Rhinolophus ferrumequinum: one gene and its partner. The protein of the gene in region 1 interacts with the protein of each later gene in a biochemical or structural test. Links are inferred from orthologs where the notes say so. Each region holds a gene or a part of one and is shown in the gene's direction. Other genes may lie near its edges.

What was found. The genes of interacting proteins can lie anywhere in the genome.
Region 2: the proteins of STK26 (region 1) and CAB39 are reported together in a solved structure, tested with the Homo sapiens proteins (2 studies listed by IntAct, with this or other methods). The link is inferred for Rhinolophus ferrumequinum from reciprocal best matches to the Homo sapiens genes STK26 and CAB39.

The regions. Positions count from the first base shown.
Region 1 is NC_046284.1:23,857,783-23,868,572, reverse strand, and holds the start of STK26 (serine/threonine-protein kinase 26), read left to right. Parts: upstream 1-5,900; 5' UTR 5,901-6,055; intron 6,056-6,155; 5' UTR 6,156-6,264; coding exon 6,265-6,306; intron 6,307-10,790. UniProt on the Homo sapiens protein: Serine/threonine-protein kinase that acts as a mediator of cell growth. Modulates apoptosis. In association with STK24 negatively regulates Golgi reorientation in polarized cell migration upon RHO activation.
Region 2 is NC_046291.1:7,495,212-7,505,495, reverse strand, and holds the start of CAB39 (calcium-binding protein 39), read left to right. Parts: upstream 1-5,670; 5' UTR 5,671-6,035; intron 6,036-10,284. UniProt on the Homo sapiens protein: Component of a complex that binds and activates STK11/LKB1. In the complex, required to stabilize the interaction between CAB39/MO25 (CAB39/MO25alpha or CAB39L/MO25beta) and STK11/LKB1.

The DNA.
Region 1 (10,790 bases):
TCTTCTGTGAAAAAGCAAGCTCCTTATGTTTGTTTGAATTCCAAGCCCTCAGCAGAGTTCCTGGCACTTTACTAAAGAAACATGTTTGAAAGAAAAGAAGGGAGGAGAAAAGAAAAGAAAAAGGTAAAGGTGGTGCGGATCAGGCTGGCTCTGGAGCCTAAGCGAAAGTATAAAAAGACATTTTGTCTTCTATTTCTGAGCAAAAATACCACTACACTCCATAGTTGGACCCTTGTAGTGGGTGTCATGGTACTGAATTTTAACTAATCTTAAAATATCGATTTGGCACAGGAAGAAAAATGAGTAGGATAGAAGCTTTGCTTGTCTACAATGTTGAGTTTCTGCCCCAGAAACGTCTGGTAGTGTCTGATAACAGTACTGCAAGGGGTGCCTGTTATTCCCCTGCTCTTTTCATGTTCTCTTGAGTACAGCAGTAGCAAAACTATGAGTTTTTTACCACAGGGTGACAGAACCTCAGCAAGCAAGATGAAAAGTGGTAATTTTACACAACTGCCTTTCTTAGAGGTCCTGGCAACAACTTCCTTTTCCTTAGTGTGAGCTGATGGCATAGTCACTTCCTATTTGGTCTCAACTGCCAGTTTTTTTCCTGTTTTCAACTGCCACCTTTGACTAGAACTGTTTTCTTGAGAAGCCTACAAATTAAAGAACAAGTGGTCAATTCAAGAAATGTTAAAAAGTTAATTCAGAGGGAAAAATATCACCCACATTGGTTATTTAGCATCATTTCGTGGTAACACATGAAAGGCTCTCCTGTAACTAAAAACAGCACACTGGAGAGCACAAAGAAGTTACCTGACTTCATTACAAAGAGCCCAGTCTCCCAAAGAATCTGTCCTAAGAAACTCCCCAGTCTCTTTATGTCCTCCTATGGCAACAGAAAACAACCATTATAGGATGATTTGTGCAGCAAGCAGTGGTTTTGTGACCACTGAAGTGACTGTGAGTGAGCACATGCAGGCTTCTGAGGGCTTTCACCTCCAGCCCAAGGCATCTGAAAATCAACAGTGCAATTCTGTGAGAGTTTAGGCAGTCTGCAAAACTGAAACCAAGGAAGATATCTCTTAACATTCCATCTTTTGACTCCTACCTCTGAATGAAATTATCCTGGCCACATTTAGTTTTTTCAGTTCTGAATCAGTTGGTGAAGTCAAGAAGTTACAAGCTCAATTCTTTTGGTCGCTAAATGCAAATATTTCAAAGTGAGTAAGCATATGTGTAAAGAAATGTTATAAGCAGGAAACCACCTAAGCAGCATCTGCTTCCGCCCACCTCCTCTGTTGCTCTACTCCTGTCAGTAGCATCAGGAAGTACAGCTAGCGAGAAAATTTTGCTGTGCTTAATCTTAGGTACTAGTTTTGTTATAAATGATACTATGGTAGAGTATCGGGTAAGCCCCAAAGGGTGCAAGGTTACTCAGGGAAGCAATTACATAGGTTTAATGCTCCTTGACCAAAAATTGATTCAATAGGTTTTTCTCTTAGGATGCTTTGCTGGAACAATAGCGAATATACAACATCTGCAAGAACTATTATATCACAGTTTCCAACTTGATACTCACAGAGAGTAGAGATTTGAGGTATCACATATGCTTCTATATAAAACAAAAGATAAAAGGGGCCCTTAAATGTTGGACTTCCAAATATCAGTAGAGAGTTCAGTAGCTTGAATCAAAATATTGATGGTGAGCTTCTAGAACTACACAAATAATTTGCTTTAGTTTTAAATATTCAGATAATTGAAAGAAATTCAGATAATTGTATCAATTTGCCCTTACATTTCATATATTTATATAGTTTATACATTTCAATGTGGTTTTTAGCCTCAAAATATGAAAGTACAAAATGTGAAACCCTACCTTTAAATTTTGTGAAGTGGAATAAAAAGTAAAATTTATCTCACGAGGTACACATTTGAAGGCTCCTATGTAATGCCTGGTACATTAGAACATGCTCCATGATTAAACTTTTTTTTGTAAACAAACCATTAAATTTTCTTAAACTTATTTTCTCTTCAATATTATTTTTCATTAAGTAGTATTCACTCTTTGGGGCAGATGATCTATGACTTAGTACAAAAGCAATATAAAAATACTCTTTCATTTCCAGTAACCCTTCGATGTGGCCCAATATCTTGTGGGGATTTTTGGGGGGAGGTGGGGAAGCCACTACATTGAACTGAAATCTTCAGGGAACAGTGATTCCCAAGTCGGTTTCTTGGTTAGTAATCCCTAATGCAAAGAGTGTAGAGCATGGTTTTTCAAACCTTGGCACCATTGACAATTTGGGCTGGGTAATCCTTTGTTGTGACAGCTGTCCTGTGCATGGGAGGATGCTTAGCACCCGTGGCCTCTACCCACTACCAGTAACGCCCTTTCCTCCCCATTTGTGACAACCAATAATGTCTCCAGAAGGCAAAATTACCCCTGGTTGAGAACCACGGCCCTAATGCATTACTGTCTACATTGAGGTTTGTCTGGCCATTTCTGTCTACCTACATTTTAGCTGTGAATCAGTCCATTCAATAAATATTTACAAACATGGGTAAAATTAAATGTTTAATATTGACGGTATGACAAATGTTGGAAATTGAAATCACAGATTATAAATTTAAATTAAGTTTTGTTGGGTTCAAGGACACTGTCTAATTTGGAGTTCACTGACTTCAATTAATCTGTATACAATCTTATTTTATTTATATGGTTATTAAGTGTTCATAGCACTCAGGTCACACCAATTAAGCAGGTACAAAATCTGATTTGAGGCACTATGTTACATTCCATGGGGTTACCAAAGAGCATAATATGTGGTGTCTCTCCTCATGGAACTTTTTCCATCAAGCTATGGGAATACATTGTAATATAGTATTAGACTCTGGGATGATATTTTGAAGTAAAATATTCAAGTGTCCTTTTCTGGGGAGAGTGAAAAAAGCACACTTGAATTTCTTATTTTATTTATATTAAGATATATATATATATATATGCATATATATATATATATATATATATATGAAAAAGCATAAGCAAACCACAAGGAACTCCACGTAAAAACTCAAGTGATCTCTATAAATAATAATAACAGATAGTTTATTTAATAGAAGTAGTCCTAAATAAAGGTCAAAAAGTTTACTAAGATCTCAATAGCAGTGTTTCTAAGGAAACGTCTCAATTGTTCAGGTCTCAAAAGTTAGCATTTAGACTACTACATTCTTACATAACTCTGGCCCAGAATGATGTCAGGGAAAGTCACTTCTCAGATATGCTTAATTTACTTATCTATTAAAATTACACAACTTGCTCTTATGTAGTTGTGAAATTAAAGTAACTGGAAAGAATTTTGGAGACCAAAAAAAAAAAAAAAAAGAATGGTGTCACATATACTAAAGTGAATGATTTAAAGGTTCAGCAAGAGCAGTACGTAGGAGTTTAACCAGGCATCAATAAAACACACAGTATACCAATAATGCACCCACCTATCACTATACTAATCTCAGTGAAGAATTCAAAGGAAATACATCTATTCATTTATTCATTTAACAAATCTCTATTGAGGGCTTACTATGTGCCACACACTCTCCTAGCCTCTGAGGATACAGCAATGAACAAAACAGACAAGAATTTTGCCCACTGACAGTTGCCATCCTACCTGAATAATTCTTATGTAAGAGAAGGTGGATCTCTGGCCTCTAGGACCTAACAATCTTGTTGGGCAGACTAAACAAATGAAATAAGAACAAAACCACAATGTGACTGTGGCTTCCATCGACATGCAAAAGAAGTTTGAAAGGGGGATTAGAGCAAGGAGGATGGCTCAATGGGGGTGAGATTTGAGATGAGCCTCTGAAAGGGGGATTAGAGCAAGGAGGATGGCTCAATGGGGGTGAGATTTGAGATGAGCCTCAAATGATGGAGCTTGATTCAAACCCTTGGTATTCAAAGTGTGTTCTAAGAATCAGCAGTAGTGCCATCACCTGTGAAATTGTTCGCAATGCAGAATCTTGTGCTCACTCTAGAGTTGCTAAATCAAAATTGGCACTTTCAAAAGAATCCCAGGGAATTTCTATGGACATTAAAGTTTAGGTGGCTCTGCAGGTTTTTGGTCAGGCTGGCATTGTTGAGTGTGAGCTGGGTGAGTGGGAGCTAGAGATTGGATTGGGGCCTCTCATCATGTTAGAAGTAATAAGGGCCTGGAATTGGGAAACCAGGAGTAAGGGAAATGCAATTATATCCTCCATCATCTGAATAGATAAGAAAATGTGGTGTAGATACATGATCTGGAATATTATTCAGCCATAAAAACGATGGGAATCCTGCCATTTGCAACAACATGGATGGACCTTGAGGGCATTATACTAAGTGAGATAAGTCAGATTGAGAAAGACAAATACTGTATGATCTCACTTATATGTGGAATCTAAAAAATACCAAACTTATGGAAACAGAGAGTAGATTGGTAGTTGCAAGGGGCAGGGGATGGGGGAAATTGGTGAAGGTGATCAAAGGGCACAAACTTCCAGTTATAAATGAATATGTTCTGGGGACCTAATGTACAACATGGTAACTATAGATAACAATGTTGTTTTGTGTACTTGAAAGTTGCTAACAGAGTAGATCTTAAAAGTTAGAGATACTTGGGTTTGAATTTCCAGCTCTACTTCTTAATTGTGCGATATTTTGTGTCAAATTATTTAAGCTCAACTTTTTCTTCATCTGTAAAATGGGGAGAAAGCAATATGACCTCCCTTGTAAAGATTCAATTAGGTAACACATTGTCCCTGGCACAAAGAAAATGGCATCCATGAATAATAATGATATTGACAATAGTATGCTATCTTTAAAAGGTTCAAAAGGAACAACAACAAAAATATATTAATTGAGTGTCTATTGAGTGGCCCCAATACTGTGTTGTGTACAGACCTATAACAACCTGCAAGGTAGGGAACTTCATCCTCATTTTGAATTGGCACTCAGATATTACATTTTTAAAATGTAATTGACCCCTTGTGGGTTCCCAGAGGTCCCTTCATAATGAGATTCTTGAAATTGCTATTACCATTGTTAATGTTATTAGGGTACTCTCAAAAGACCTTGTCTCCCTCCTGGAGTGGAACATGAAATGGGGTGGAGGCAAGGATTTGCTGGAACCACTGCTGTGTATGCTGAGTTCAATAATATGCACTGCTACCGTACTGATGTTCATCCTCATTAATTTTTCTGCGGACGTACCATCTGTTCTCCAACTTCCCTCTCTATTAAACGTGCAGAACTTGTGATAAACAGAAGCCCCAGTCTGGCCACCCCCCACCAAAGGATAGCCCAAGAGGTAGGTGTAGCCTCAGATTCAGGTCACCTGAAGCATGTCTGGGGGCGAGAGATCCCGAAAGCATCAGAGTGGCTACGGATCTGCCCGGTGGCACGGCCTCAGGCTGGGGAGACCCCCACCGCAGTAATGGGCAGGAGTCCACCGACTCGGTGGCTCTCTGTGCCCCTCTGTGCCCCACCCTCGATCAGATTGGGAAGCCAAGAAGGACTTCCAACACTCTCCAAGTTTTAACTCAAGAAGTCTACGAGGCTGCGTGTGCCCCAGCCTCGTACGCCTGCCTGCAACGTGGCCGCGTCTAGGACGCCCTCATAACCCCAGGTCACCCAAACTTTTCCATTATCTCTCCAGGCCGAGCCGTGTTCCAGGTCCCCCAGGCCCCGGGTTCTCCTCTCCGCGTGCGGGGAGAGTCTTCCCTTCTCAGGCTCCAGCAACCCCAGGCAAACCTCTTCACTCGGAACCTTAGCTCTCCTGACACCGCCCGACTGTGGGGCGGGGGCAGGGCCAACGGAGGAACCGCCCCCAACCGCCTCCCCCGCCAGGCGAGCGGGCGGGTTGCTGAGGCGCCTCCACCTCCTCTTCCTAAAGCGGCTAGGCGCAGACGAGCGGCATCACTCGAGCCCAGGTCTCAGCCACCGCCACATACAGCGCCCCGCATTCAGGAGGAGGAGCAGCAGAGGAGGTGGCGGCAACAGCGGCCGACGGGCGCCAGAAAGGTAGACTGAGTCCCAGGGAGTAGCCCCGCGAACTGCCGACTTCGCAGTCCCGGGCTACGCGCCACTAGCCCAGTAACCCCACTTCTGTGTGTCCTTCCAGGCCCGGGTCGAAAAGCCTGGGAGGGCCGCCGAAATACCCCCGGAGAAGGAGCCAGTCCCAGCCCAAGGCGCCACCGCCGCAGAAGCAGTGCGGAGCAGCCGTCGCCTTCATGGCCCACTCACCGGTGGCGGTCCAAGTGCCCGGGATGCAGGTGAGGAAGCCCAGGCCTGCCCCGCCGCCCATGTGACTACCCCAGAGCCCCGTACGCACTCCTCACTGGGCACCGAGAGGCGGCCTCAGGGCTCCCCCGAAGGCAGGGCCGGGCGCTCTGGCCAGGTGACCTGGGAATTGGGCTCTAAGTGTTTCCTGGCGTTGAGGCTATGCACTACGTTGGGAAGGAGGGGAGGGATTGGGGCGCGCAACGAGGTGAGGATGGGGTGGGGGCGTTATAAAAATAGGCCAGAGCGAGACACCTGCGCCTGCTGAGCGTGGTACCCTTGAGGATTGGAGGCGGGAAGACTTGGGAGAGATGGAGGTGTCTCGGAATTTATCGGGTAAAATGCAATTTGTGCCCCCTGCCAAACACAAGTTGGAGCGGAGCAAGACAAGGGGATGTCGGTGGCGGCGGCATTAAATCGGTCTCTTCCTGTGTGCATAGAGCGAAGTGACTTCTTTTCCCCTTTTGGTGCTGCTTCTTAAGGGCGAAGTTATATCTCCCTACCCCACCTGGCCCAACCCATAGGGCAGCATGAGAAATGTTGGGTCCCATATCAGAATCGCCTAGGAGATGACTCTCCAGCCCCTTCCCCAGCCTTTCCCACAAAATGACTGTTGCATGTTGTTAAGGGAAGCTTTTTGTCCTGGACTGGGGACTGCTGCATGGGACCCAACTTCTTGCTGAAGATCTACCCAGTCCCCCTCCCCGTTATATTTTCATTTTATTAAAGAAGAAATAAGCTATTTTCATACTTTATATGCTGTTATGGTTTTAAATTGGTGCATTTAAAGCTATCTACTAAATGTTACCCAAGTCTACTAACTTTTAAGCATTCACATTTTTTTTTCCTTTGCAAGATAGCCTAAGCAACCCATTTATGAATAACTCAGAGACTAGACACACTAAAGCCTCACTTCCTTATTATGTTCTAAAAATGTGAAAGCAAACTTTTCTCAAGTTCAGACAAAAATGTTTAGTAAATAGCTTATGTTTTAGTATCAATCAAAGAGCTGTGGATGGGGGCCTCAATTTCCTAATTGATGCATGGAATTCATTTTTTTTAAAAAGCAATTGGTCACATTTTATGCATGATCACAAAAGAGTGATTTTTAAGATACTTCCCCCAAAAAGGACCATCTGTGTCTGACACATACCTAACCAAAGACTCTTGTGTATCCTAAGCACCAGGCCTTTTAACTGAATATCGTCTGTGTCGAGTCCCAGGAAGTTGGTGTGTATTTAATAAAAATAAATAAATAAATAAATAAATAAATAAATAAATAAATAAACAAACAAACAAACAGGGAGAAAAAGGGTAATGAGAAATATTAAGGCTTTTAAAAAGGTTAATCCACTCAAGCTTTACAAAATGCCTCAAACTTTCTTCTCAGGCCACCCCCTTCCCTCCCTCTTTCCCCCATCCAGCCTGGCCCACACCCCATTCATTTGGTTCTGTCTTTGATTGTATCATGGGAATTAGAAGCTTGCAATACTAACTATGGTTTTGCTCTGTCTGATGTGGAGGAAAGTGCGAAAAATTTCCCACTGAACCCTCCTTCCCATTATGTGGAGATGTACAGATGTAACATTTGTCTTTGAGGGTTTCCAGGCTTTTCTCTCCATTGTGTACGTTAGCAGAGTGAGTGCCTGCCCTTCAAGTTTGTGATTCTGAAAAACTGTGAGCTAAAGAGAAAATAGTTTCTGGTCTTTATTTCATTTGTCTTGACTTTATTTGATTTATATAGTTTCTAGTCCTTATTTGATTTATATGGTTTAGGAAATGCTTGCTGTTAAGTGTTTCTTATTGCTCCCAGCTTTGTTGAATTATCTGAGTTCCTATCTCTTGAATTTTTAAATGTTAATTAAGGTGGTTTAGAATGTGAATCACGTATTTTAAATGACAAACTCTGCCTTTCACTTTATGCCTACCCAAAGTTGTGATTATTTTGTCCAACCTTAATTTGGAAGAGGCAGTCATCTCAATATTAGCGAAGAGACTTTTTTCATCTTAATGAAAATGGTAAATTCTTAACTTCTCATTTCCATTTTCTTTATAGATGTGGTTCTTAAGCATTTGGTGCAACACAAAACGTTTTCCACAGTTAAAATTGTACAGTACCCTAAAAATAAATTTGATGGCATACAGTGTGACTCTTGAGCCTAGATTTCTTTTACTATTTTGTTCAAAAATATTGCATTTGAGATGCAGAAATACATCATGACCTTGTGAAATTTTCCTAAAATTTTGTTAAAGAGTTAAGAGCACCTTTTTTTAGACCTTTAGAGTAGTAAGAAAACTTGAGTTAGCCATGTGTTCTTGAAATTAATGTATAGTATTTCTACAAATCATGGTGAAGTGATTGACTGGCCTGTAACTTTTTAACAGTTTATTTTAGAGAATTATCAAGATTGATGGAAAAATGATTTTTCCAGAAATAAAAACAAAATTATCCACAGTGTTTTCCTCCCTTCCCCTCCCCCCCAGGAAAGACATGAAGTAAAAGCTGAGCTACCTGTTCTATCACTTAAGACTTCCAGCATTCCTGACTTTCAAACAAAGAAATTTCTGTTGCCACTAGTTTAAAATAGAAAAGAAACTTGGAGTGATGAAAGAAAACCCAGGATTTGGTCCAGTTCAAACTCCTCCTTATGAATTAGTTATTCAAACTCATTGTTGATATTTCTTAATATCATGGTAATGAACATTTTTGCCATATTACACCAAATGTTGAGGATATGAATTTTTTTGTACTTAATCTGTGCTTACTTCTTTAGTGTATAACTAAAAGAATTTTCCATACCAGGAGCTAAACTCTCAAAAAAAATTTTAAAGCACAACTTTAAAAAAATTAACCAATAAACTTGTTCCTTTCCACTCAAATATTTACTCTTTATTGATTTAAAACATGTTTTTTTTCCTTTGAAGTTTTCAGTTATAAATCACACTTGTTTAAGATATTTCCCCTTAGAACCACATTAGTATTTATGAAGACAAGTATTCTAAATTGGTTGTTAAGTCTTTCGTAAAATGTAGGTAGAAACATCAATGTTCAGTTAAATGTTGAATTAGAGTACTAAGTGTTATTATGTTATGCCTATTGTATATAATAATATTAAAATATAATACGATCTAAAAATATAATTTTTTTTAAAGTTCCTGATAAAGAATTTAAAAATTAGCCTTCATGTATCTTTAAATATGATAAACTTGGTACAATTTTTAAATGGTTATTATTTGACGTGTGAGATAGAAATTAAATTTAAAAATTAGTGAACACTTTATTGAAGACTTTTATCTAAGAGGTAGAAAACATTGCCTTGCACTGGTAAATTTAGTTATTGGGTTTTGGGAAGAATACAGAAATATACTATGTGACCTCTGCTCTTCAAGAACTTAAAATGTTGGGAGGTTAAGTCTAGCACATGAAATATCAAATATGCAAAATCTGTGATACTTACTCTATAATAGAATTTCTGACTGGAAGAGATGAAGGCTTACAGAAAGTAAACTGACCCCAGAGGGTTGTTAGGAATCATTTTGGGAAGAGCATTTCCAAGCAGGGAAATATCCTGAGCAAAGGCATGGAGACAGGGAAGAGTACATTCGCAATTTGTGTGTGCACACACAATCTGAGAGTGGGATTAAAATCACTTGGACTATGTATGATACAGAATTCCTCTAGAGAAATAATAAGAGATAAGATTGAAAAACTAGATTGGGTTCAGATTATGGTGGTCTTGAATGCTAGGAAGGATTTTGGCCTTTGCACTAAACATTTCTGAGAAGGGAGACTCAGTGAACAAAGTTAAATACAGGAAGGTAAATCTTAAGATCGGATGAATGGATGAATGGGAAAATGAAGAGATTTGAGGCGATTTGATCTACTGAGGCTATTCCAGTGGGACAATCAAATATGTGCAGATGCAATGGGCCTTGCATTAACTGACTGCCTTCCAAATGCCTAGTGCTGTGAAGATAAAAAATATAATTACCAGACTTAATAATTAGCTAGTTATAACTACAGATGGAGGAATCCAAGCCTTTGTGGTGTTGAATATGGGGAACTGGGAGGTTTATGGTACATCCAAAAGAACTGGAAAGTCAGAGAGAAGAGCCAGGTCTAGTGGGAAGTTAATGATTTCTGTTCTAGACTTGTGAGGTTTGAGGTAACAATGGGACGACAAAGTGAAAATGTAGAACAATATGTCTATTACCTTAATTGTGGTGATGAGTTCATAGGTGTATGTATATGCCCAAATTCATCAAATTGTATACATTAAATATGTACATTTTTTGTACATCAATATGTCTCAATAAAACTTTTTAAAAAAAAAAAATTCCAGCAAATACTGGAAAATATAGATCTGGAGCTTCAATCAATCATCAGACATTTACTGAGCATTTACTACCTATATGCTAGTCTGTTTACTTGAAACTGAAGGATAGGAGCAACCAAGGAGGGAGAGGGTTGTAATAC
Region 2 (10,284 bases), on another chromosome or scaffold:
CCATCTTTCATCCACTGCACACATAGGATCCGAATGGTGTTTCTAAATCTAAAGTACACATCTGAGCTTGTCACTCCATGCCTTAAAGTTTCAATGCCCACTTCACACCCAACCTACCTGCACTGCCTTCATGTTGAAGCCCAGTTCTTAACATGGATGATGTGGCTTTCATTATTGGACCTTTGCTTATCTCTCCAACCTTATCTGGTGCCAACTCCCCTCTTCAATCCTGCCATGTTGTAACAACATGAATACACCTTGAGGGCATTCTTCCAAGTGAAATTAGTCAGACAGAGAAAGACAAATACTGGATGTTCTCACCTATATGCGGAATCTAAAAGAACTGAACTCAGGCTGGTCTGGTGGCTCAGGTGATTGGAGTGCAGTGCTCCTAGCACCAAGGTCACCGATGTGCCACCGTGAGTGGCCGGAGGCCAGCATGAGTGGCCGGCAGCCGGCGAGAGCTACTGTGGGCTGCTGTGAGCGGCCGACCGACTGCCTCATGGGGGTGGGGGGGACAGCACAAGGCTCAGAACACCAGCGTGGGCCAGGGAGCTGTGTCCTATCCTACACAACTAGACTGAGAAACAACAGCTTGAACTGGAGTTGGGGGGGAGGCAGAAGAAGGGAGGAAAATAAAATAAAAAATAAAAGAACTGAACTCATAGAAATAGAGAGTAGAATGGTGGTTCCCAGGGGCTGCGGGTGAGGGAAATGGGGAGATGTCTAGTCAAAGGGTGCAAACTCCCAGCTAGAAGATAAATAAGGTCTAGGAATCTAATGTACAGCATGGTGACTATAACCAACAATACTGTACTATAGACTTGAATGTTAGTAAGAGAGTAGCTCTTAAATATTATCACCATACACATACACCCAAAATCGTAATTACGTGTGGATATGAAGGTGCTAACTAACCTCACTGCGGTAATCATTTGCCAATACAAACATGTTGCTAATCTTCACATTGTACACCTTAAACGTACATATGTTATATGTCAATAATAGCTCAGTAAAGCTGGAGGTGGGGAGAACTAGCAATAAAAAAAATTCCCCTCCTCAAGCTCCAGCTCTAAGCTCTATAGATTGAACTACTCAAATTCACTGTGTTTTCCAGCTTTTGGCGCTATTGCCATGATTTTCCTTGAACATTTACTCCCATCTTCAACTGGCTAAATCTTACTCATGCTTCATGTCTTACTCTTCTGTAATTGCCTGTTGACTCTCCTGGACTGCAAGCTCATTGAGAGCAGGGACTGTGTGCTGTTCAATGTCTCAGCCAGACTGCTTGTGCCCAGTAATTATGTGCTCTCAATAAGTATTTGTTGAATAAACAAAGATGCAATGAGCTTTAGAGCAGGTTTGGTGGGTTTACAGCTGTGGGAGGAGCAATTAAGCAGGAGAGTTTTAGAGTTCAAGCTTCAAAGGTACAGTAGTGGTGACTGACAGACCAGGGTGGGGCTAAGCAAGTGCTTGTTGACGTGGAGTGGAAGTGAGGATCACTGGGGCAGAGAATATGAGGGAACTATGACCCAACATATTAGACGAGTGGCACTTATGTTGCCCAGGAGAAGTCAGGCACAGGGTAGGGTGGAGAAGGAAGCTGTGAATCATGCGCTAAAGTCCTTTCACAGGTGGTGTGATTGAGGCAGGGAGGTGCCTTCATCCTGTGGCCCAGCTTCAGTGGAGGAGAGGAAGGGAAATGAGAGTGATGGAAGATTTACACAGGACCAACACTAACTCCAGAAAATGATGACCTTGCCTATGACCTTGAGATCAGGAGGGGAAAGTGAGGAGCCTCTGTGGAGAGGGTTTCAAGAAGAGGAGGTGGAGGAAATTCTCAGAAAGAGGTCGTGCCTACAAAGTAACATATGAATAGAATGGGCTTTCCAGAGAGCCCAGGGAAAGGAGGGAGAACGGTGTCTTCCCCAGAGTAAATTCAAGTGGTCAAATGACAGGGGTCCTTATGCTTTGGCTTCAGAATTTGTTCCAGAAATGTCTGCCGTCTTGCTGCTACAATTCTCAGCTATAATGGGCTGGTTTATCCCAGTTAAGAGATTCATCTGGAATCCAGTTCAGACCCTTATAGCAAAGGAATCAAAACCTTGCATATGAGATTATCCACCCCCATGCGTTCTTTTAGTCTGTGGGAAATTGGGTCTTGACTTATTTTTGTGGGATGTCAGCACAATAAAGGTCTCCCTTTGGGACTACAATGAAAAAGAACTCTCTCATCTTAAAAAAAAAAAAAAAGCTGTGGGGTTAAAGTCCTTACTGAACAAAGTTTCAAAATTAGATAAAACTTGTTGTAGTCTGCTCACTCAAAAGGGCCCAGCACCTCCCTTCCGCGGTCACTAAAGAGTCTTTGCTTTTCGGGAACCAGCTTGCTCAGGACTTTTCGTCAGCTGATTTCTCTCTGGGCCTAGACAGACACTAGACAGCTATGGCTCTTCTAACAGCTTCTAATATGCTTGATAAATTGTCCATGGTGGGACAGACTTGACCTTTAAAATGCTGCTATTTTACTTATATTCAAACTTTTTATTTTGGTTTTCCCTATATATTCACCAGCAAGATTGCTGTAGTTTTCTTTTTTTGGGGGTCGCATTTATCGAGGTTTTGCTATCAAGACTACAACCAGAAGAAGAATAATCAGCACCCTCCCACCCTCATCTCCAAACTTGTTAGAAATGCAGAATAACGGGCTCCCCTCCCCCAGACCAATGAAACCACTGTCTGCATTTCAACATGCTCCCCGGTAATGCACACCGACATTAGAGTTTGAGAAGCTGCCCCAAGCCTTGTTATTTACTGAAAACTGCTCCTGTCCTAATTTCAGTATAAGCAGCCTGGCTCTCCAGCCAGCAGATCCTTCATCCTAGCTCACTCTGTTTACTGTGCTAGTTCCAACAATCCTTTCACCCATCATACCACTTTTACAGGGTTTCTCCCCTTTCACTGCCCCCACCTCCGCCCCCCATTTCCTCACGGCCTCCAGTCTGGCTTGGATTCAACAGTTGGCCATTATTATTATTACTTCCTTGCATATACCCTCTCCTTCCTTTGTCCTTTCTTGCTCCATGGAGTTACCTAACAAAAATAGCCCTGGTTGAATCCAGCTCCCCACCTTCCTGCGCCTGCACCTTCCCAACAAAATGTGAGCCCTGTTGACTGGTCCTTCTTTACACCTTCTCCTCTTCCCTCAAATTTCCGACAGCTCCTCCCCCTCCACACTCTGAGCTGATGACCTTGCTTCCCATTTCCCTGAGAAAATAGAAACCCTCAGAAGGGAACAGACACCTGTTCCAGCTCCTCGTCCATCGGGCTCTCTGCCTCTGAGCCCACAATCTGCCTGCCCTCTGTCCCTGTGAGTGAAGGCCGTCCTGCTGGTGTCAAGGCCAGACCCTCTGTTGTTCCCTGCAACCTTCTCTTCTTGCTCACTCAAGGACAGCTCTCCAGAAAATGTGGCCCCTCCCATCAAATTTTCCCTCACTACTTGAATCACTCCCATCAGCACTTAAGCCAGCTGTAATAGCTTCCATCCTAAAAGCGAAAATGAAAAAGAGAAATAAAACAACAACAAAAAAATCTGTTTGACTCCATATTCTCCTTCACCTACCATCAAATTTCTTTCCTCCTCTTTAGAATAAAACTTCATGGAAAAGTTGTTTATACTCATAGTCTCTCTCTTCCTAGAGCCCCATTCTTTCTAGACATCTTTCTGGGTCTCACATTCTTTCCAAAGACCACTCCAATCAGGCTTTTCCACCCACCCCTGCTGAAACAGCTCTTACCAAGGCCACTAGTTACCTCTATGACACTGCCATCAATGACCAGTCACCAACACCAACCTTACTTCAACTATTAGTCAAAATCAGTGGCATTGATCCGTCCTCCACCCCTTGGTCTTCCAGTACATACAGTCTCCTGGGTCTCCTCCTCCCGCCACCCTAGCTCCTCTCCTCAGAATCCTTTGCTGGTTCCTTGCCATCTCCCTGACCTCAGCATTGGCACCTCAGGCTCATCCTTGGCTTTGCCCTTTATTAACACTCACTCCCTAAATGATTTCATTGAGTGTTGAGATTTTACTTACTCTGAGGACTCCCAAAATTCTTTCTCCAGGTATGGACGTCTCATCCATACCCTGACTTCTATATCCAGCTTCCTACTTGGATGTCTTGGATGTCTAGCAAGTAGTTCAGAATTAATATGCCCCCAAATATATTCCAGAGTTCCTCCCTTCACATCTGCTTCTCTTTAAGTCGTCCCCATTTCACCAAATTGTATCTTCCAGTTGCTTGAGAAAAACAAACAAACAAACAAACAAACAAAAAAACCCTTAGAAATCAGCAAAATCCTGTCAGCTCTACCTTTTAAAAGTGTCTAGAACCCAACCACTTCCTTACCCCTCCCAGCTACCATGCTGGACCTGTCTTCTGTGCACTGGATTATTTCAAAAGCTTTCTAACAGGATGGCTGACACCCTGACATCCTTCAGGCTGGTCTTCACACAACCAGAGCGATCCTTTTGAAATGTCAGACCACATCCTTTCTCTGCTCAACACTCTTCAAATAGCTTCTCATCTCATTCAGACTAAAAACCCAAGTTCTCCTTTCAGTCTGTAGGGTTTCCACCCTCTACTGTTTCTGCCCTCTTCCCTCCCTCAGGAGTCTGGCCTTGCCGGGCTCCTGGGCTCCCAGCTCCCAGCGGTGGTCCTTGCTGTTCCCTCTGCCATCCCAAGCATCCCACATAGTTCACCTCATGCTCTTCATGTAGCTGTTCCCTGTAGGAGAGCTATAAATAGTCATACCCTGCCCTCTCTCCCCTCCTTGGCCTATGTTGTTTTTCTCCATAGCACTGAAAACCATCCAAGGTCATGCTTGTGCTGGTTTATTTGTTTATTGTTTGTCTCGGGAGCATGGACTGTGTTGTTCACTGCCCTACCCCTTAAAATAGTGCCTGACACACAGTAGATGCTCGAAAATACCTGTTCAATTACAAATTAAAAACAAACAAAGCAACAGAAACAAAAATACACATGGATGATATTTTTATGTACCAGATTCTGCTCTGCTCTCTGGGCTTTGGAATTCATTTTCTCGCTCGTCCTCATAAGCCTATGGTCCTGTATTACACTTTTGTGCGCGCGTTGATGTGAAGAAACCCAGGTATAGGGACAGGAAACGGCCCGTGGGGACTAAATGAGTGGAGCTGGGGTTTAAATCCGCTGTTGAATGCTATTAATCTGGATCATTCCATCACTTTCCACGCTCTCTCTCAGAGGATGCTAAAATGAGAATGATCTGTCCCACGCAAGTATGACAGATTGGGTCTACACAAAGTTGGCCCTTCGTCTTGAGCAGAAATAAAGCTTTGTTAAGAGTTGAGGAAGTGGTCGTAGAAAATGGACGTGAGATTCCTCCAGGAAGCGTGCTTAGACAGACTAGAAGGGGGCTGAGCACCCACATTTAAGTGGCAGATGAAAGAAAAGGAACTCCTCTCCTCGGCTTCTGCTTTTCTGTGTCCCCTCCCTTTTCGTCCTCCGCGCGCACACCGGCGCCCTGAGTCCTCCCGGACGCCCGGGGGCGCCCGAGGCCAAAGGGGGCGTTGCGGCGCCGCCCGACGTCGCGCCCTGGGAGGCTGCGCAGTGCGCACGTCAAAGCCGGGCTCGGGCCGGGAGCGGGGAGCGGCGCGGCCTGGGAGAGACCGAGAGTCGGGGAACCGGGGGTAGGCGAAGGCAAAGGCGGCGCCGGGTCCTGCAGCAGCCGCAGCCGCAGCCGCAGCCGCAACCCGGGCGATCGAGCGCAGCAGTGCGGCGGCCGCCGCGGGAGCCTTTGGGCCGCCGTCCGCCCGCGCAGCCGCCGCCGCCGCCGCGGGAGCCCGTCGCCGGGAGTCGAAGCAGGCGGAAGACAACGGAGGGGCCGAGCACCGGAGCCGCGCCGCGGGGACCCAGCGAGCAGCCCGACGCGGCGGCGGCCGAGGACGGGGACGGCGACGACGCGGAGGCGGAGAGGGAGCCGCTCGGCCCAGCCCCGTGAGTGACCCCCGGCCCTGCCCAGCTCGCGGCGCGGACGCCGGCCCGGCTTCCGCCTGCCCTGCCCCGGCCCGTCACCGGCCCCGGGGCTGCCTCCATTTTCTCGGGTGGCCGCGGCGGCCCGACCCGGGCCAGCTCAGGCCCCTCGCGGAGGCTTGCCCTTTTGCTCTCGCCCGCGCGGCGCCCGGGGGCCTGCGGCCGGGGTCTGGGAGCCCCGGGCTCTCCTGCCACCCCTCTGCCGTTCTCCGGCGGGGCTGGCGGCTCGGGGCGTCCCCGGCCGGAGTACGGAGGGCAAAGAAGTGCGGGCCGGCTCAGCTGTCACTCCCACCGCACACGGGCTCCGGCCACCTCGCTCCTGGCCCCTGGTAAACTTTCTGTTATCTGGAGGCAGGTAGCATCTCTGTGATGTCCCTTTCGGGAAAATGCCTAACTGATTTCTGGTTAGGAATTGTGCGGCCAGAGCGTTCCCGAGTTCGGTTGAAACAGCCTGAGCGCTGACTGCGTGCAGGCGCCGTGGTCGGTCCGCACCGGAGGGATTCAAAGGTGAACCCGGGGCCGCGGTCGCCTCCCCCAAGGAGTTTAAGCTCTGGTATGGGAGATAAGACTAGTACACAGATAACACGATACCTGGAAGGAGACGATAAGTCCAGTGAAAGAACTACAAGGTGCTAGAAAGGAACCCAGGGAAGACTGGACCGATTGATCGATCACTTCCGCTTAGCAGAAATCTGGAAGGCTTCCTGGGCGAGGCGGTGCCTAAGGCGGTTTTGAAGACTCGAAAGGATTTGTGAGAGGAGGGCTGCAGAAGAGACGGTATGTGGAGGGGCAGCAGAGCTAGAGGACAAAGGTAAAAAGGCATAGGCTAGAAATAGTGGATAACTCAGTTTGTTGCTTAGGCCCATGGTGGGAAGTGGGGGTGGGCTGAAGAGGTATTTGGGGGCCAGATCCTTGAATGCTAGAAAGGAGCTGTTTAAGGGAAACCTAGAACTCATTTCTCAGTGACTCATGAGCCCGGAAATGTAAGCTAGTCGGGATATTGAAGGCGCTGCTGTGAAAGAAAGGAGAGGAGGAGGCCCAGTACAGAGTTGACATTCTGTGTCTTGAATATAATGCAGTTTGAGATCGATTTTGACAGCTTCCGGGATATTCAAATGAATCCATGTCCAGGCCAAGCAAAGAACCTTTTGCAAAAAGCTTCCTTAGATGTCAGGCTCTTGGAGGTAATGGAAAGATGTGTTTAAAATAAGCTCGTCTGCACATAAGGCATTTCTGTTGGTGCAGTTCACTAAACTGCATCAAAACTTCTTGCACTGTGTGTTAGGTGTCTAAACTTTGGAATTACTCAGCTGAACATAATTTACCTCTTTGAGATGGCATTTATGTAAAGCAATCTAAATTGATGATTTTCAAAATCAAATTGTTACTAATATTCTGAGATAGAAAGTGACATAGAACCTTTTTATGGAAAGGTTCATTTTTTTAAATTAATTTTTAGTAATGAAAATCGTTATAGGAGAACCAGGAGCAAAAGTCTTTAGTTTTATTTTGTACATTTAAGAAATTACTAGGAAGTAATTGGCAGCTGTATTTGAAGTCCTAAACATACGATCTGTGGAAGCAGCTTAGAACCTGTGTTGGTTTTGTAAGCACTTACTTCTTTGTTTGCTTATATGATAAATGAATGTCAATTGTTTTGAGTTTTAAAAAAAGCAGTTGTAAAATGCAGGAAGTACTGGAAAATTTTTAAAAATTATCTTCTGTAATCTTACCACTTATATTTGGTTACTGTTAACATTTTTGCATATTTCCTTTTCAGCGTTATATTTTTTCTTTACATAATGAACTAAACTACATATAACTCTTATTAAGCATTTTTGTCATTAAATATCTTCGTATAAAAATATTTTCCCCCAAGTAAGGGAAGTCTTAAATTTTTTTTCTGACAAGGTTGTATTATTTATGTCAGATAAAATGTAGTAGTCATGCTTAATAACTGCTCCTGTGGACAGTTTTTCCTAAAGACTTCTTGTTTGAAGTATAGTTATTCACTTCTTTGTACAATTTAGATTCTATTGCTTGTTTATTACTTGGGCTGCATCTTGCCAGCAGGTAGGAAAGAGGTCTGACACATCTCTGCTATATGAGTGGATGTACTTTTCTAAAAGGCATTAAAAAGGATTACTTTCGTAGCTGGTATATCTCCCATACACTAATGCACCTCCATTCCTACCTCCCCATGCCCCACCCCCCAAAGTATTCTTTGAATGAGGGCTGTCCACATAGGCTACTACTTTTGATTATGACATTACAAAGATTCAGGCTAAATGCATGTAGTTTTCTATTGGCATTTCTCTAGTAAATATAGAATTTGTCATGAAATAATTTTGCTGCTAGAAATAATTTGCTGCTGTAACAAAAGGGACTTTGGTTTTTTTATTTCAAGGCACTTCACTTTATTTCATTTCAGACTGCAGGTTCTTTAAACCAGTTTTTCCCCTTGTGCTTTACATTCTAAAATATATTAATGAGGTCTCTTCCTGTTTCTAATGGCATATAAAATGAGATGCTGAGCTAAACTATAAATTTTCATAAAGTCAACATAAAAGAATAGCTGAGAAAGTCCAGTTTAAGAATGGGGTTTGGTTTTATAATTTGGTTTTATTTTAATCTTTATTTGTATATTACAAATGTTTATTTTGAATATTTACTAAAGTTTTTTCTTTTGATCAATTTTTGTAGGTTATAGATTTCTGTAATTACTACTGTACTTCCCAAGAGCCTTTTTTCAAGGAGGGGTTGATCACTGATAATTCAGTTTTACCATCTTCCATAAAAATACAGACACAAATCCAAATTGTCCCCCACCTGATTCCAACAGCACGCAAAAATAAAATCCAATATTATATGGTAGAACTTCATTTTAGGTAGTATATTCTGGTTACCTTTCTGGTGGTGTTTTTATTTTAAAAATCCATTTTGTTTTCCATGGCTTCTTTTAATTAGGAATTTGATTCTATGAATGTTGTCTGCTGTTACAGAAATAGGAGTGTCATAGGTGGATTAATATGGAAAATGGCAAAATGTTGATAAAACTTTTTGGAGTGGTAAGATTATGAGGAAGACGATCAGATCTCGGAACCTCTGGGTTAGATTGCTTGTGACTTGTTTTGTTGTTTAATTATTGAAGTGTAAAGATCTTGTATTCGTGTGAATGCATATCAAACCACGCAGCCTAAAAGTTGCGTAACAATTTAGTCATCAGTCTATATTTTGTTTTTTTATTGGAGAGAAGGCTGGTATTGGAGCCATCCTTAATTAAAGAAGGAATGGAGCTACTCTACTATGTGAGAGTTCTTCCTCTGTGTGTCTCACCACTTTAATGACTGTTCAGCTGGACCCGAGTCACTACCTTTATCAGTCAGAGTATGGGGGTGGAGCAAGGTGAGACAAGTATTTCTACTACCACCAGCATTTGTAGAAGAGACTAGTCGGAGTAAATGCCAAAATGTGTGTTCTGCTTCTGTTTCTCGGGGCTTCCCAGGATTGTGAGGAGGAGTTCCTGAAGGACCGGGCGGCGAATGACGGACTGATGGTAATGACGAGTGACAGCCTGTTGCCATCAACTTTCGTTTTTTGAGGGGAGGGTGTAGGTTTGGGTGTGTGTCCCTTCCATGTGCCATTTCTGCCTCACTGAGCTTCCTGGCCCCACTGTGCTTTTACTTGAGATAGAAGGGGTGCAGTGAAGGCAGAATTGCGGTTTATTAGCAACTGTGACGCTAAACTGGCAGAGGAAGGGAGAATGGCATGCAGGGAATTACAAGAGGCCAGTCGGGTGTGAAGTGGCCCAAAGGAGGGAGGTAAAGCCCGCCCTGGCCGTTTATGTCGGCACGTTTATGTTCAGCACGTGCTGTTCGCCTAATCCTCCACACGTTGTGTCGAACGTGAGATTTTCATACTGAGAATGCAGTATTTAAGTTGTTGGGTTGTGTTTGCTTGTTTATGTGTATGTATGCGTTTTCATTTGCATAGTTATGAAGATGAGAAAATCTAGCTAACCAACGTTCAGTGGCAGTTTGGTTTTATATTATAATTACTCCTTGGGAGCGTTATCCAGCACATAAATTGTTGATGACCAGTGAAGTATGATAATGTTAAAACATCACAATACTTTGATGATTTCGATAAAATGTTTGTTGGAGAAACAAAATATACATTTTGTAGCTTGATCTTAGTAAGTTGCTATTTTGTA